3 linked regions of the Rattus norvegicus genome follow. The protein of the gene in region 2 interacts with the protein of the main gene of each other region in a biochemical or structural test. Links are inferred from orthologs where the notes say so. Each region holds a gene or a part of one and is shown on either strand. Other genes may lie near its edges. The genes, in order: Usp8, Stam and Arrb1.

Region 1 (3,648 bases), on a different chromosome or scaffold from region 2:
TGTTTTTAACACAGTACGACAGCTATTTACATCGTATCAGGAATTAATAATCAGAAGTGGTTTAAAGGAAACAGGAAGGGGTACACAAGTTAACACAGACACTGTAGCATTTTATCTCAGGCATGGAATATCCTTACTGCAGGGGCCTTGGATATTGGAGTTTGGAGTATATATAAATAACTGATGGGGTGTTCTTTTCATGTATTATATATCATTTGTTAATTACTAAGGGTTTTCAATTTATCTTTTCTAGCACATCCCAAGGAAGTAATCGGTCCCCTCCCTAAGAATTCACCTTACGAGGGAGAGACCTATTTGAAAGAGTTTTTGGAATTAGTACAGTTCAGATATTAGAAATCCTTATAATGTTATTAACGCTCATTAATTAGGCAGGGTTTTGAAGCTGTCTCATTAACAGCTTATGTATCTTCTGTAAAAGATACATGAACAGAGAAAGAGCACGTAGAGAAAACTGGGATGTGTGCTGTTTTTTATATTCCCCTCCAGAGGTAGGGAACACTTAGTGGGGATCAGGAAGAGAGTGTTCACTGGTTCACTGGTCAGGGAACCTTTAGCCCAGACGTGCCCAGCAGATGCCTCCATGCTGTCCCCCATGACTTTAAATTTTAGTTCATTTAAATGTGGCCATCCTCTGAGACCTGGTGGAATATTACAGGCATAGTTAGGTAGTAGTACCCAGATAACCTTTGCCTCATTTGAGACCCATTCTATGGTTAGTATATTCTTTTATTTATGTATATTTTATTTGCAAGGGTATAAATATCTGGTTCTTTATTTTTTTTAATATTTAATACCTACTACAGTATAAATGCTGTGCATATATAGTGTTGAGGAAATGTTACAAGAAAAATCTCTGTACACACCCCACCCCACTCCAAACTCCCAGCCCCGCTCCCTTCTGCCTCTAGGAATCTATCCATGTCTCATGTTCTTTCCCTCCCTCTCCCCCCTCATTTTTTTATTTTTTTATTTTTTTTTCCTGATAGATGGGTTTCTTTCTACTCAACCTAATGCCACTTAAATACACTATTTGATATTTAGCAGCTGAGATCTACATATGAGAGAACACTACATATTACCCTTTTAGAGTCAATGTATAATTTATAATTATACATGATTTTATCATATTTAATTCTCTAACATTCTGGTTGAGTTAGAGTATTTCATGATGCTAATGTCTCTGGGCCACTTGGAGAAGTTTGAAAGAGGCTTTTCCCATTGGGCAGTAGCTGAGTCTGTGGAAGCTAGAGGACCTGTCTCAGGCCACCTCTAGAGCCAAGACCTCATAGGAGAGGTGGTAGGCATGCGTTTCATGGGAGGATCCTGGGTCACAGTCAGTTAACCTAGTTGCTAAATGTCTTAGAGAACACAGCAGTTTAGCCTGTGGATTGTGGACAAGATTTGATGTGGTACAGCTGCTCCAGCTGTCTGCATCTTCAGTGTGCACTCAGCGTGAGATGCTCTGCATAAGGCATCTTGTTCTTCTTCCTTAGGCCGCCGTGTTACCCTAAAGCTGAGATCTCGAGGCTTTCTGCTTCTCAGATTCGGAACCTCAATCCCGTTTTTGGAGGATCTGGACCAGCTCTTACTGGACTTCGTAATTTGGGAAATACTTGTTACATGAACTCAATATTACAGTGCCTGTGCAATGCTCCACATTTGGCTGATTATTTCAACCGAAACTGCTACCAGGACGATATCAACAGGTAAGGGGACTTAGCCCTGCTGCAGTACACCAGTGCGAAGGATGTTTAGTCTTACTCTTGTTGTAGCATGCGAGATAGGTAATCACTTTTGTTTTATATAAAAGAATTTTGATTTTTAAAAATGTGTGTATCTTAAGTGTGGCTCTGTACAAACTAGAGCAGACACGTGAAGGTCAGAGGGCAGCTTGCAGGAGTTAGTGCTCCAGTGTGGACTCCAGGATTATGTCGTGTTGTCAGCTCGAATGGCGAACACTTTACCTGCTGAGCTTCTTTTCCATAGTTGTAGAGATTGAGTGTTCATTGGGTCCTTTTCAGCAGACCCAACCCCAAAGCCTTGCAAGGCATGGCCTCGTCAGGTCCTTTTCAGTTTGGTTTTTTCATTGTGTCTTTAGGAGTATGTACATATGTGAGGATAGCAGCTTGAGGGCTCCAGAGAGAGTATCAGATCCCCAGAGCTGGAGTTATGGACAATCGTGAGCCACCATCTGGGTGCCAGGAATCAAACTTGGGTATTCTCCAAGAGAAACAATTCCTCCTAACTAACACGGAGCCATCTCTTCAGCCCCTTAAGGGCTTGTTCCTAGTCTATGTGCAATACCCAAATTTTGAAGGGACGTATTCAGTTGTTACTCAGCTTCAGAGGAGGGGAATTAGCAAAAGAGAACTTATCTTCATCTGTCAGAATACGGGGTAGTTACCCCACTTCTGGTCATAAGGACAAAGAAAATGGCAGACACACTGTCAGGGTTACAGCTTCCGTCTTTGACTGCAGCCTGTTGATGTGCGTGAGGAGCAGGGTTTGCAACCAGGATAAGAAAATGAGTTGGAGGACCACAGCAAAGTCAGGTTCAGATGTGTTTGGTTCAAGCCTGCAGGTGAGTGATTCCTTTGTGTGTTGTGTGTGGTTTTGTGCTGACATCAAGACCCCACTATAACTTAAGTTTTGTTCCTTTATTTTCCGTAACTTTACTCGCACAGGTCAAATTTGTTGGGGCATAAAGGTGAAGTGGCAGAAGAATTTGGTATAATCATGAAGGCACTGTGGACAGGACAGTATAGATACATCAGTCCAAAAGACTTTAAAGTCACCATTGGTAAGATTAATGACCAGTTTGCAGGATCCAGCCAGCAAGATTCACAAGAGCTGCTGCTTTTCCTCATGGATGGCCTCCACGAGGATCTAAATAAGGTAAGAGTGGGGTCTCCGCAGCTTCACTCACTTCTGTCTTCACAGCAGTTTACATGCCTGCTCACCAGTGTTCCTTACTCAGATACAGTGACTGTAGTAAGTGTGGCCTGTGCCGTGCGCGCGCGCGCGTGTGTGTGTGTGTGTGTGTGTGTGTGTTCTGTGTGCTGGTCCTGTGTGCAAATGTGTGTACTGTGTGGAATCTGCTGAGCTCCCCAGAATAAAATTGAATGTTTACATTTATTTAATAGAATGAGACATGTTGGGACTGGAATCTTAGACTCAACATAAAATTATTTTTATTTTCCATATATACATGTCCTGAAGTGAATTTTTACAGTATTTTTGAATACCTATTTTTTAATGATTTTTTTTTTCTCATGGAGTACAATTTTCCACTTGTGGCAGCATGCCATGTTTGAGACTCTCAGATTAGGAATGTGCACCATGGATTTGAAAAGTAGTGTGGTTATTCACTCAAGTACTAATAAGAAGTATTACACAGTTAACAGATAGTAAAATAGCTATTGGAGGTGCTCTTGTGACTCTGCTTATGAAAGCCAAGTCATGGTTTTATTAAGTATAGTCTAACATCTTTGTTTGTTTATTATCTATAAGTACACTGTACAGACACACCAGAACAGGGCATCAGATCCCATTACAGATGGTTGTGAGCCACCATGTGGTTGCTGGGAATTGAACTCATGACCTCTGGAAGAGCAGTCGGGTGCTCTT
Region 2 (3,648 bases):
TCAAAGGTCGCTAAGGAAGTTACATGTCAATATATGTACATAACATTTGCCACAGCAGTTTCTGATCATTTGAGTGCTGCAGACCAGGTAATTTTACAAGACAATAATCTTGTAACAATTCTTCATATCATGAAAGGAAATAAATGTTGTAAGTAGTTTCATTCCTCGGGGGAGGAGCATTCCTCTAAAAAGTCAGTGCAAACTGAAGCAGTTCTACCTTCTTGAGTATTTGAACTTGACCAAGATAGACTCTCACAAGCTGAGGAAAACAAATCTTAGGATGTTAATGAATTTCCTAACACTGTCAGTGGCACTCAGCAGAAATAGGCCACCCAGAGCAGCATCAAGTCCTATAGCAGAGCCTTCTGAGAATATGCTTGCTGTGGCTGAGGTGGCTGTTGGCTGCCTCCTGTGTGAGGCAGGGTCGATGACGTTAAGGTATAGTTTGGCACCTGGGACATGTTAGGTCCTGGATTCTGGTAGATGGTGACATCAGCAGGCACAGGCACTGCAGTGACAGCGACAGCGGCAGCAGCAGCAGCAGGACTGTATATTGAAGCCTGGCTGGGATACGAATTTCCTTGAACAGAACTAACCATTGCACTGTGGAGGGAGGAAAACACTGGATTAGCTAAATAATGAATTATGCATCCAATTCAGAGATGAACAGGAAAATTATTAAACAGTTCATCTGACAATTTATTAAATAAGTGCAAAGTATCAAACACTGTTATTTAAGCACTGGGATGCTATCAAGAAAGAAAATGAGTAGCTATCATTACAGAGCTTACATTCTGGTGGGAGAAAAAAAAGATAGCTAATAAATTTAAAGGATGCCAATGCTTAAAATCTCAGTAAAGAAAAACAGGGATCGGCAAATACCAGAAGTCTGGTAACCAGATTCTCGCTTATGTAGGGTGTTAGAGGGAGGCCTTTCAGACAAGGCTTCATGCAAGGGAAGGTCTTGAGAAAGCAGAGGAACTCCATCAACAGTCTAGGAAAGGCACACAGTAGGCTACAAAAAAAAAAAAAAAAAAAAGAAGCCTTTGAGGTTTTGTAATGCCATGTTCAAAGAACAAAAAGGAGGCCAAGGCATTCATACAACGTGCCGAGAAAGCACATGTGGTATAAGAGATAAAGGAGCTGTTAGGAGGGCTACAGAAGGTCCAACAAGTTCCTTAGAAGCCACAGGGTTATGCATGTGAGTCAAGTGAAACAAGCACTGGGTGGTGTCTGAGGAGAGAGGTAATGAGATAGGACTTATATTTTTGACAGGCTCACATGGGAACAGGAACAGATGTGAGAGCTGGCAAGTGCCCAGAGCCATAGTGGAGACAGGAGAGAAGGGTCACACCCTACTTTGAAAAAAGAGCCATTGAAATTTGATAATGGACCAAGTAGTTTAGTATGCCTGGTTTTGTAACTGATAAAAATAACTGGAATGACCACTTACTAAAAGAAGAAAACTACACTTGGGACTACAGCTGACTGGAACAAGAGAGGCATGGGCAGGCAGAACCAACAGTTTTGGACACCTCAAGTGAGATGTCCAAAAGACACGTAAGAAAACACATGCAACCTGGTGTCCCAGGGGAGAGAGGAGTGGAAATAGACACTAAGAGTCCTCATTCAGAAACACGGGGCTGAATGAAGTCCTCAGAAAGTGACTGAAGAGAGCGAGCAGAGCAGTGCATGCGAGTCCTCCACTCTCTGACGTCAGGAACATAAAGGTGTACCCGACAATGGCACGTGAGGAGCAGTAACCAGAAAAGAAAGCCTGACCCAGCCTAACAAGGGCCTGACCCAGGAACACGCACCAAAAACGAACAGGAAAGAGACTCACTGTAAGAGAGGTGGGCCTGGGGTTTGAGCAGAGGGTCTGGACGTCGGCACATCCTGACAGAATCATCTCAATGGACTAGTGAATGAAAGCATGGCTGCCTTTGTTATCTCCCTAAAGGTTTAGGCTAAGGACATCCTACACACCCCCACCCTGGCCACACCTACCCCTACCTGGAACTGTAACTAACTGTTCTGGTTGGCGCCGGTGTCTAATGTGCCCAGCCTGACATGCAGTGGAGCACTGACGTCACCTCTAAGGAACACCTGTCCCTTCCATACGTTCTGTGAGGTGTGTCCTTAAATGTCTGGCCTTCTTGGCTGGTCTCCTCTCTGTTCTCTAGTTAGTTCTTGGCGCGACGTCATTTTCTCTAGGACACCCCTGCTGTCCGTCTCTATTGCTCCTGGTACCAGCAGATTCGACGTGTGCTCCTACCAGTTTCCTTGGGTGGCTCCCTTCCTGTGTCTATGCCTATAAAACTACAGCAGTTTCAAGAGCCAGGACGGAGTTTCTGTCCCCTTTTTACAGCCATCTCTTAGGACATGACTTACAGCAGGAGCTCAGTGACTAATGAGAAAGCGCCAGTGCCCACAATTCCAAAGTCTACATTAGGACAGAGGTGAGGCGACGGCTTTCAATCCCTTGAAGGCGTATCAGAGACTCCGAGGTAATCTGAGAATTGATATATATTTGTACATGTATAAAAACAAGTGTCTGCTCAGGAGAAGAAATAAGGCAAGTGCTGGCAGAGGAAATGGAGGATCTGGAAAGGAAAACGAAGGAAAACCAAGGCCTGGTGTGAGTCAGGAGTGCTATGTATCTGAGCTTTCGGCTGTAATTCAAGGCCATGCAGATTTTCACCAATTCACTGGCAGGTTGTCCCAGCCCTGGAAGGTTATTTCCTTTTTGTCTTTTTAAAAATTTTTATACACTTTAATTAAAATAAAATTATATCTCTGTCCCTCTTTCCTCCCACCAACCCCTCCTACGGACCTCTCTCTCAAGTTGATAGCTTCCTTTTCTCTGACTATTGTTATATACATGTGTGTGTGGGCACAAACACATAAATACAACCTACTCAAGAGTGCGCTTTTGTTCTTTGTTTGCGCATGGTTTTAGGGCTGACACCTCTGGAGTAAAGAAGCAACAGGGAATGCATGAGAGGCTGTTTTCTCTTCCTCTTCACACAGCTTTAATTCTAGAAGTAAGCACTTTGCAGACATCTGTCCCCAGGACATACGGAAGGCGCTCACTCAAGAGCCAGTACTCAGGTAATGTTCTAAGCTACCTACCGTGGGGACAGTATTTTGAGAAGAGAGAAAGGATGAAGCCACCATAACTTACAGATCTATTATCACTGATTTGGTTTGATGAACAGATGTTTAAGGATTTAATGAGAAATGAGATATAAAATGGCGGTAGAACACTGGCTTCATATACAAGGTTCTAGGCTTGATCCTAGCACTGTGAAAATGTGAGGCTGGGGGGTGGACATGGACAAAAGCAGCTTCTTTAGACTATGAGCTTTTCTATTTGACATGGGCTAGTCAAGAAAGGTCTCACTAAGAGAAGGGAGGAACTGACATCGGTAAGTACTTCCCAAGTCAGGGGAAAAGGGTAGATATTTTTGTACGCCATTAGTACAGTTACTGAGGGGTTAAAGTAGATGATAGGATCAGAAAGAAACACCACAGAGACACTGGTGAGGAGGACCGAAGAATGAATGGACCAATCTGAGTTGATGAGAACTGCAGTAATTGGATAAACTCATTTATAAGGACAAAAAAAACTGTGCAGCCATGGTGATT
Region 3 (4,411 bases), on a different chromosome or scaffold from region 2:
GATGACTGGCCTGTGTTCCTCTCGCAGGCCCCACCCCCAGGCTTCTCTTCCCACCTCCCGGTCCTTGTACATTCTGCACCCTGGGCTGGCAGGGCACTGGTTGCAGTTCCACTGCTCAGCCTCCTCAAGCTTCTAGGTCAATCTCAGCTGCTTTGACTACCCAGAACAGTTTCGGGTCACATCCAGCTCAGCTCTGGTGTGGATGCCTCTTCCACCTCCCAAAGTGATTGTGTCGTGTACCACCATCACCTGGGAATGGATAGTCTGGGGATTCAGCTCTGGGAACTCCTGCCCCAGGCTACAAAGAAGCCACTCTTTCATGACCTGTGCTCATTGGACCCCTGTTGGTGCTAGCTTGCTCTGCCCTGGGCCTCCTCTCAACCCAGGGGTTTCTGCAAGGGCAGTGACAGTTTTGATTAACGTTCATTATCACTTCCTCCAACCGACAGGAATAGATGTGATGACTCCAGAGCCTAAGAGTATTGAGTATTTGCAATGTCCCTTCCAGGTCTCAAAGCAAAATCTCATGGCCAATGTAACACAATGGAGAAAGCTTCTTACCTTTCATATCCAGACAGATCTAGAAAGAGAAAGGCAGAATTCATGGCTCTAGAGGGGCCCAGGGAGGGGAGGCAAACACGGACAGGTGGAGTTTGTGTAGCTAGTCTGTATTTCCTGGCATAGGCAACTCCTACTCCTATGTCCAGTGAGCTCAGTAAGCTTTTGGGAGCCATGAAAACCAAAGTTCTAATGGCTCCAATGTACAGATGGGAATACTGGGTCTGCCCTTGAGTTAGAAGCACAGCAGGGGAGTCAAGGACAAAGCTGTGGCCTCAGGATTCTCCAACAGGTGTCTGGCAGCCAGAGTGTCCTCCTCCTATGACAATTCAAGGTATCAGGAATCTGTGACACTTCTCCCCTAGTTACAGAGAGGCCCAGCATGGCTGAGTCACCCTGGTCACCAGCAGCACTGGAGAACAAAGGAGAAGTCAGTGGCTGCTGACTCCCTGCCGTGCCTCACAGGGAGCAAAGCTCAACCTTACAGTTCCAGAGAGTCTCAAAGCGGGGAGGGGGATGGGTGTGGCTGAAGAGAGATGCATCCAAGCATCTTTCCTCCAAGGACTGAAGCCTGGGTCACGATGCTGACCAGCCAGCTGCATTGGCCCTCAAGGTGAATGCAAACACCTCATGGCTGTCCGCAGTCTCCCAAAGCTGTGCCTCTGCACCAAGTGAGTCCCTTGCTAGTCTTTACACCCAGGGCCCCAAGGAGAGCCACAAGATACAGTGGGCTGTGGCCTCTGCCCCTTCCTGACCTTCAGCAAGGCAAGTGACCTTTCTCACCCTTCAGTTCCTCTTTGGGGAAACCAGAATAGGAAAATTAACCTCCAGGAAGGGCCATCAATAGGGAGGCTGGTGGGAGGTAGTTTCTAAACATGAGGAATCTGAGTTAGCACTATGCCTCAATTTCTACTCCTGGGAAATGGGAATAACCTCTGTAGCCCCTTTCACTCACTGCTGAAAGGCTCTGGGGTCAGTGGGCAAAAAACCAGTTTGTTTAAGGGCCCCAACATGTGACTGCAGGGATGCTTCCTTTCTGATCATCTCTCATCACCGAGGCTATGCCTAGTATACAACAGGGGCTTAATAAATAAATATCAGAGGAAAGGAAGTGAAGGCAGAGAGAAGAACACAAACATAAGAGTAATAAGGAAAGCAGTGATAAAAAGCAGGTGCAGGAAGACTAGAGGAGGGGCCAGGAAGGGCGGCAAGGAGACTCTCAAGGGCCAGGAAGGTAAACTCTAAGTTGACTAGGGCTGGTCTAGGTCATAAGGATTGACCCCAAGAGCTTCCCTGCCCCTCCCTAGCCTTCCTACTTTGACCTAGTTTCCATTTCGAGGGCCTAACCTTTCCTTTCAAGGCAGGATCTACAAAAACAGTTTCCCTCACCACCACCATCCCCAGCTAGATGTAGCCCCTAGCTATGTGCTTTGGAGGTCAGAGGGGAAGGAAAGCATGTGAATGGGACCTGCCTTCCAGGTCTCAAAGTCTCCCACTCTGACCTGTGTTTCTGGTCTGGCCATGGGGAGTCAGAAGTGAAGTGTATCCACTGCCCTAGAGATGTCAGGCCCTGCAGGCATTTTCTGCTGTGCATGTGCGTGATTGGCCTTGATGTGTCACTAAGACCTGTGGCTGCATCGTGTCATTTCAGAGAGGGTTGACAGACTGCAAGCACTAGCCAGACCGTGCTTTGCAGCATCCAGGTGACAGGATACGTATGTTGGTGTATGCCCAGATGTGCGTGGCAACACGAGGTGTGTTAGAGCTGGTGCGTGTTCCAGTGGGACCTGTGTATGCTAACAGTACTGACAGCAGGAATGTGTTGGCAGACTAGTGTGTGCGTGAGAGACCGCGTGTGACGTTGTCGTGTCACAAATGCGAAGTGTGGCAGCGACTGTCAGTGTGTGCCAGCAGAAGGGTGTTCATGTGTTTATGAGTGTGTGTGTCGTGTGTCAGCCTGCCCCAGAACGTCCTCGAGTCTACCGACCAGCCAGGGCTGGTTGTGTGAGCTCGTCTCGGCCAGGAGCCTTGAACCAAGTGGGGTGGCCCATCCTGGGTGCCTCCGTCCTTACACATGGTTCTGGCCAGAGACCACACAAGAGACTTGGGCGGACAACAGAGTGCCAGATCCCGGGTGACGCTGATTGGAACCTCCGCCCGTGCCCTCGCCCAGGTCGTCCCCACGCGCACGCGGGACAGGGCGGCCACCCGCACTCACCGTGTCCCTTTGTCGCCCATGGTCCGCGGCGGCCGCAGGGAGGTCCGCGGCGTCAGCGTCCAGGCTGGAAAATCCCCGGCCGCCAGGAGAAGCGCGGGCCAGCCCGCTCCCGGCTACCCCGCTCCGCCTCCTCCGCTGTCGCCGCCGCCGCCCCCGCCCGGGTCCCCGCCCGTCGCTCGAGCAGCACAGCGCCCCGGCCGCCGCCAGGGGCGTGGAGCGTGCGGGTGTGAGCGCGCGTGTGTGGCTCCGTGCGCCGCTCTGCGTGTGCGCGCCCAGAGAGTGAGGGCTGGGTGGCCGGCCGCGGCTGGTCCACGAGAGTGCGTGCACGCAAGCGCGTGCCAGTGCTGGTGCGTGTGCACGGCTGTGCGCGCGAGCCTGTCGGGAGAAGGGGGGAGGGGTAGAGAGAGAGATTGTGTGTGTGTGTATGTGTGTGTGTGTGTGTGTGTGCAGAGATAGCACGTCTTTGTGCAGTTGTGCGTGTGTGCTCACAATCGTGGGTGCAAGCGCGCTCTCCCGCGCAAGCCAGGACTGGCCTTTGTGTCTGCGGATAGATGCAAGCGGAAAATCCGCAGACTCCAAGGCCCAGCCTCAGCGGCGCCCCTGTGTGTGAACACAGCAAAAGATTCCAAAAGCCTAGCCAGGCCTTCGCCCTTTGCTCCACCCTCCCCGCCCCCGCCCTTCTGGAGAGATACCACCCAACGGCACAGCGGGGACAGGAAGAAGGGGTGGGGGCGGGCAGCGGACTGCAATGCTGGAGAGCAGATGAGAGTGGAAAGAGGAGGGGAGGGGCAGGCAGAAAGAGGAAGCTGTGAGAACAGAAGATAAAGCAGGGACCAAGAGCCAACTAGCTGGTGACCGGAGCATCCAGCATCATTGCTAGCACCCAGGCCTAGTTTACTTGCCTGCAATGACTCTAGACATCAGCCATCTCAGCCCATTCCAGATCTACTGGCTGGGTCCTAAGACCAGCAGATGCCCTGTTCTATAGGTGAAGGAATTCACTTGTTCTTGCCGGCAGGCACCTGCACACAGTGGTGTCCAGCAGAGCTTACTGTCTGCAGCTTTCTTGCTATCCTTGAAATCTTGACTTTCCCCAAGTTTCCTACCCCTGTGGAAGTAGCAGGTGTGCAGTGGGAGGGTGGAGTCCAGAGGCTAAGGAGGGGTAGGAAAGGGTTCTGGATTTTAATCCATTTTCTCCTGGAAGGGATCTTAAGGGGTTCCTTCTTGCTTTGCAGGAAGTGGGAGAATGTAAGGTCTTTCTCAGCCGCTTGCTGCTGGGGTTTGACTAATTGGCACTGATAGGTCCCTAATATCGGAGTATTAACGATAGGAAAGGAAGCTATCATTTACTCTGATGCAATTGCGGGTCTGGAAACATCTCCTGTAATTATGTTCAGAAGAGTTACCTATGCTGTTTACATAGAGTGTGCTGTTTATAGAGTTGGTAATAATATCCCAGGATAACGACTATAATTATGTCCAGATTGGGGAGGGGTGGGTAGAGGCTAATGGATAGGCAGGGTGGTCCACATCTGGGCAATGGTAAGAGCTAAGTGAAAATGGATTACGGTCTGTAACTTCACCTGCCCTTTCTTAGCCTCTGGGATCTTCCCTTGCTCCAACCAGGGCAGAACA

What was found.
Region 1: the proteins of Stam (region 2) and Usp8 form a complex in vitro, tested with the Homo sapiens proteins (2 studies listed by BioGRID). The link is inferred for Rattus norvegicus from reciprocal best matches to the Homo sapiens genes STAM and USP8.
Region 3: the proteins of Stam (region 2) and Arrb1 form a complex in vitro, tested with the Homo sapiens proteins (2 studies listed by BioGRID). The link is inferred for Rattus norvegicus from reciprocal best matches to the Homo sapiens genes STAM and ARRB1.

What each region holds. Positions count from the first base shown.
Region 1 is NC_086021.1:134,453,482-134,457,129, forward strand, and holds part of Usp8 (ubiquitin carboxyl-terminal hydrolase 8), read left to right. Parts: intron 1-1,514; coding exon 1,515-1,727; intron 1,728-2,499; coding exon of another isoform or gene 2,500-2,662; exon of another isoform or gene 2,663-2,699; intron 2,700-2,705; coding exon 2,706-2,916; intron 2,917-3,648. UniProt on the Homo sapiens protein: Hydrolase that can remove conjugated ubiquitin from proteins and therefore plays an important regulatory role at the level of protein turnover by preventing degradation. Converts both 'Lys-48' an 'Lys-63'-linked ubiquitin chains.
Region 2 is NC_086035.1:82,070,185-82,073,832, reverse strand, and holds part of Stam (signal transducing adapter molecule 1), read right to left. Parts: intron 604-3,648; coding exon 351-603; 3' UTR 1-350. UniProt on the Homo sapiens protein: Involved in intracellular signal transduction mediated by cytokines and growth factors. Upon IL-2 and GM-CSL stimulation, it plays a role in signaling leading to DNA synthesis and MYC induction. May also play a role in T-cell development.
Region 3 is NC_086019.1:163,248,633-163,253,043, reverse strand, and holds the start of Arrb1 (beta-arrestin-1), read right to left. Parts: upstream 2,829-4,411; 5' UTR 2,797-2,828; coding exon 2,777-2,796; intron 1-2,776. UniProt on the Homo sapiens protein: Functions in regulating agonist-mediated G-protein coupled receptor (GPCR) signaling by mediating both receptor desensitization and resensitization processes.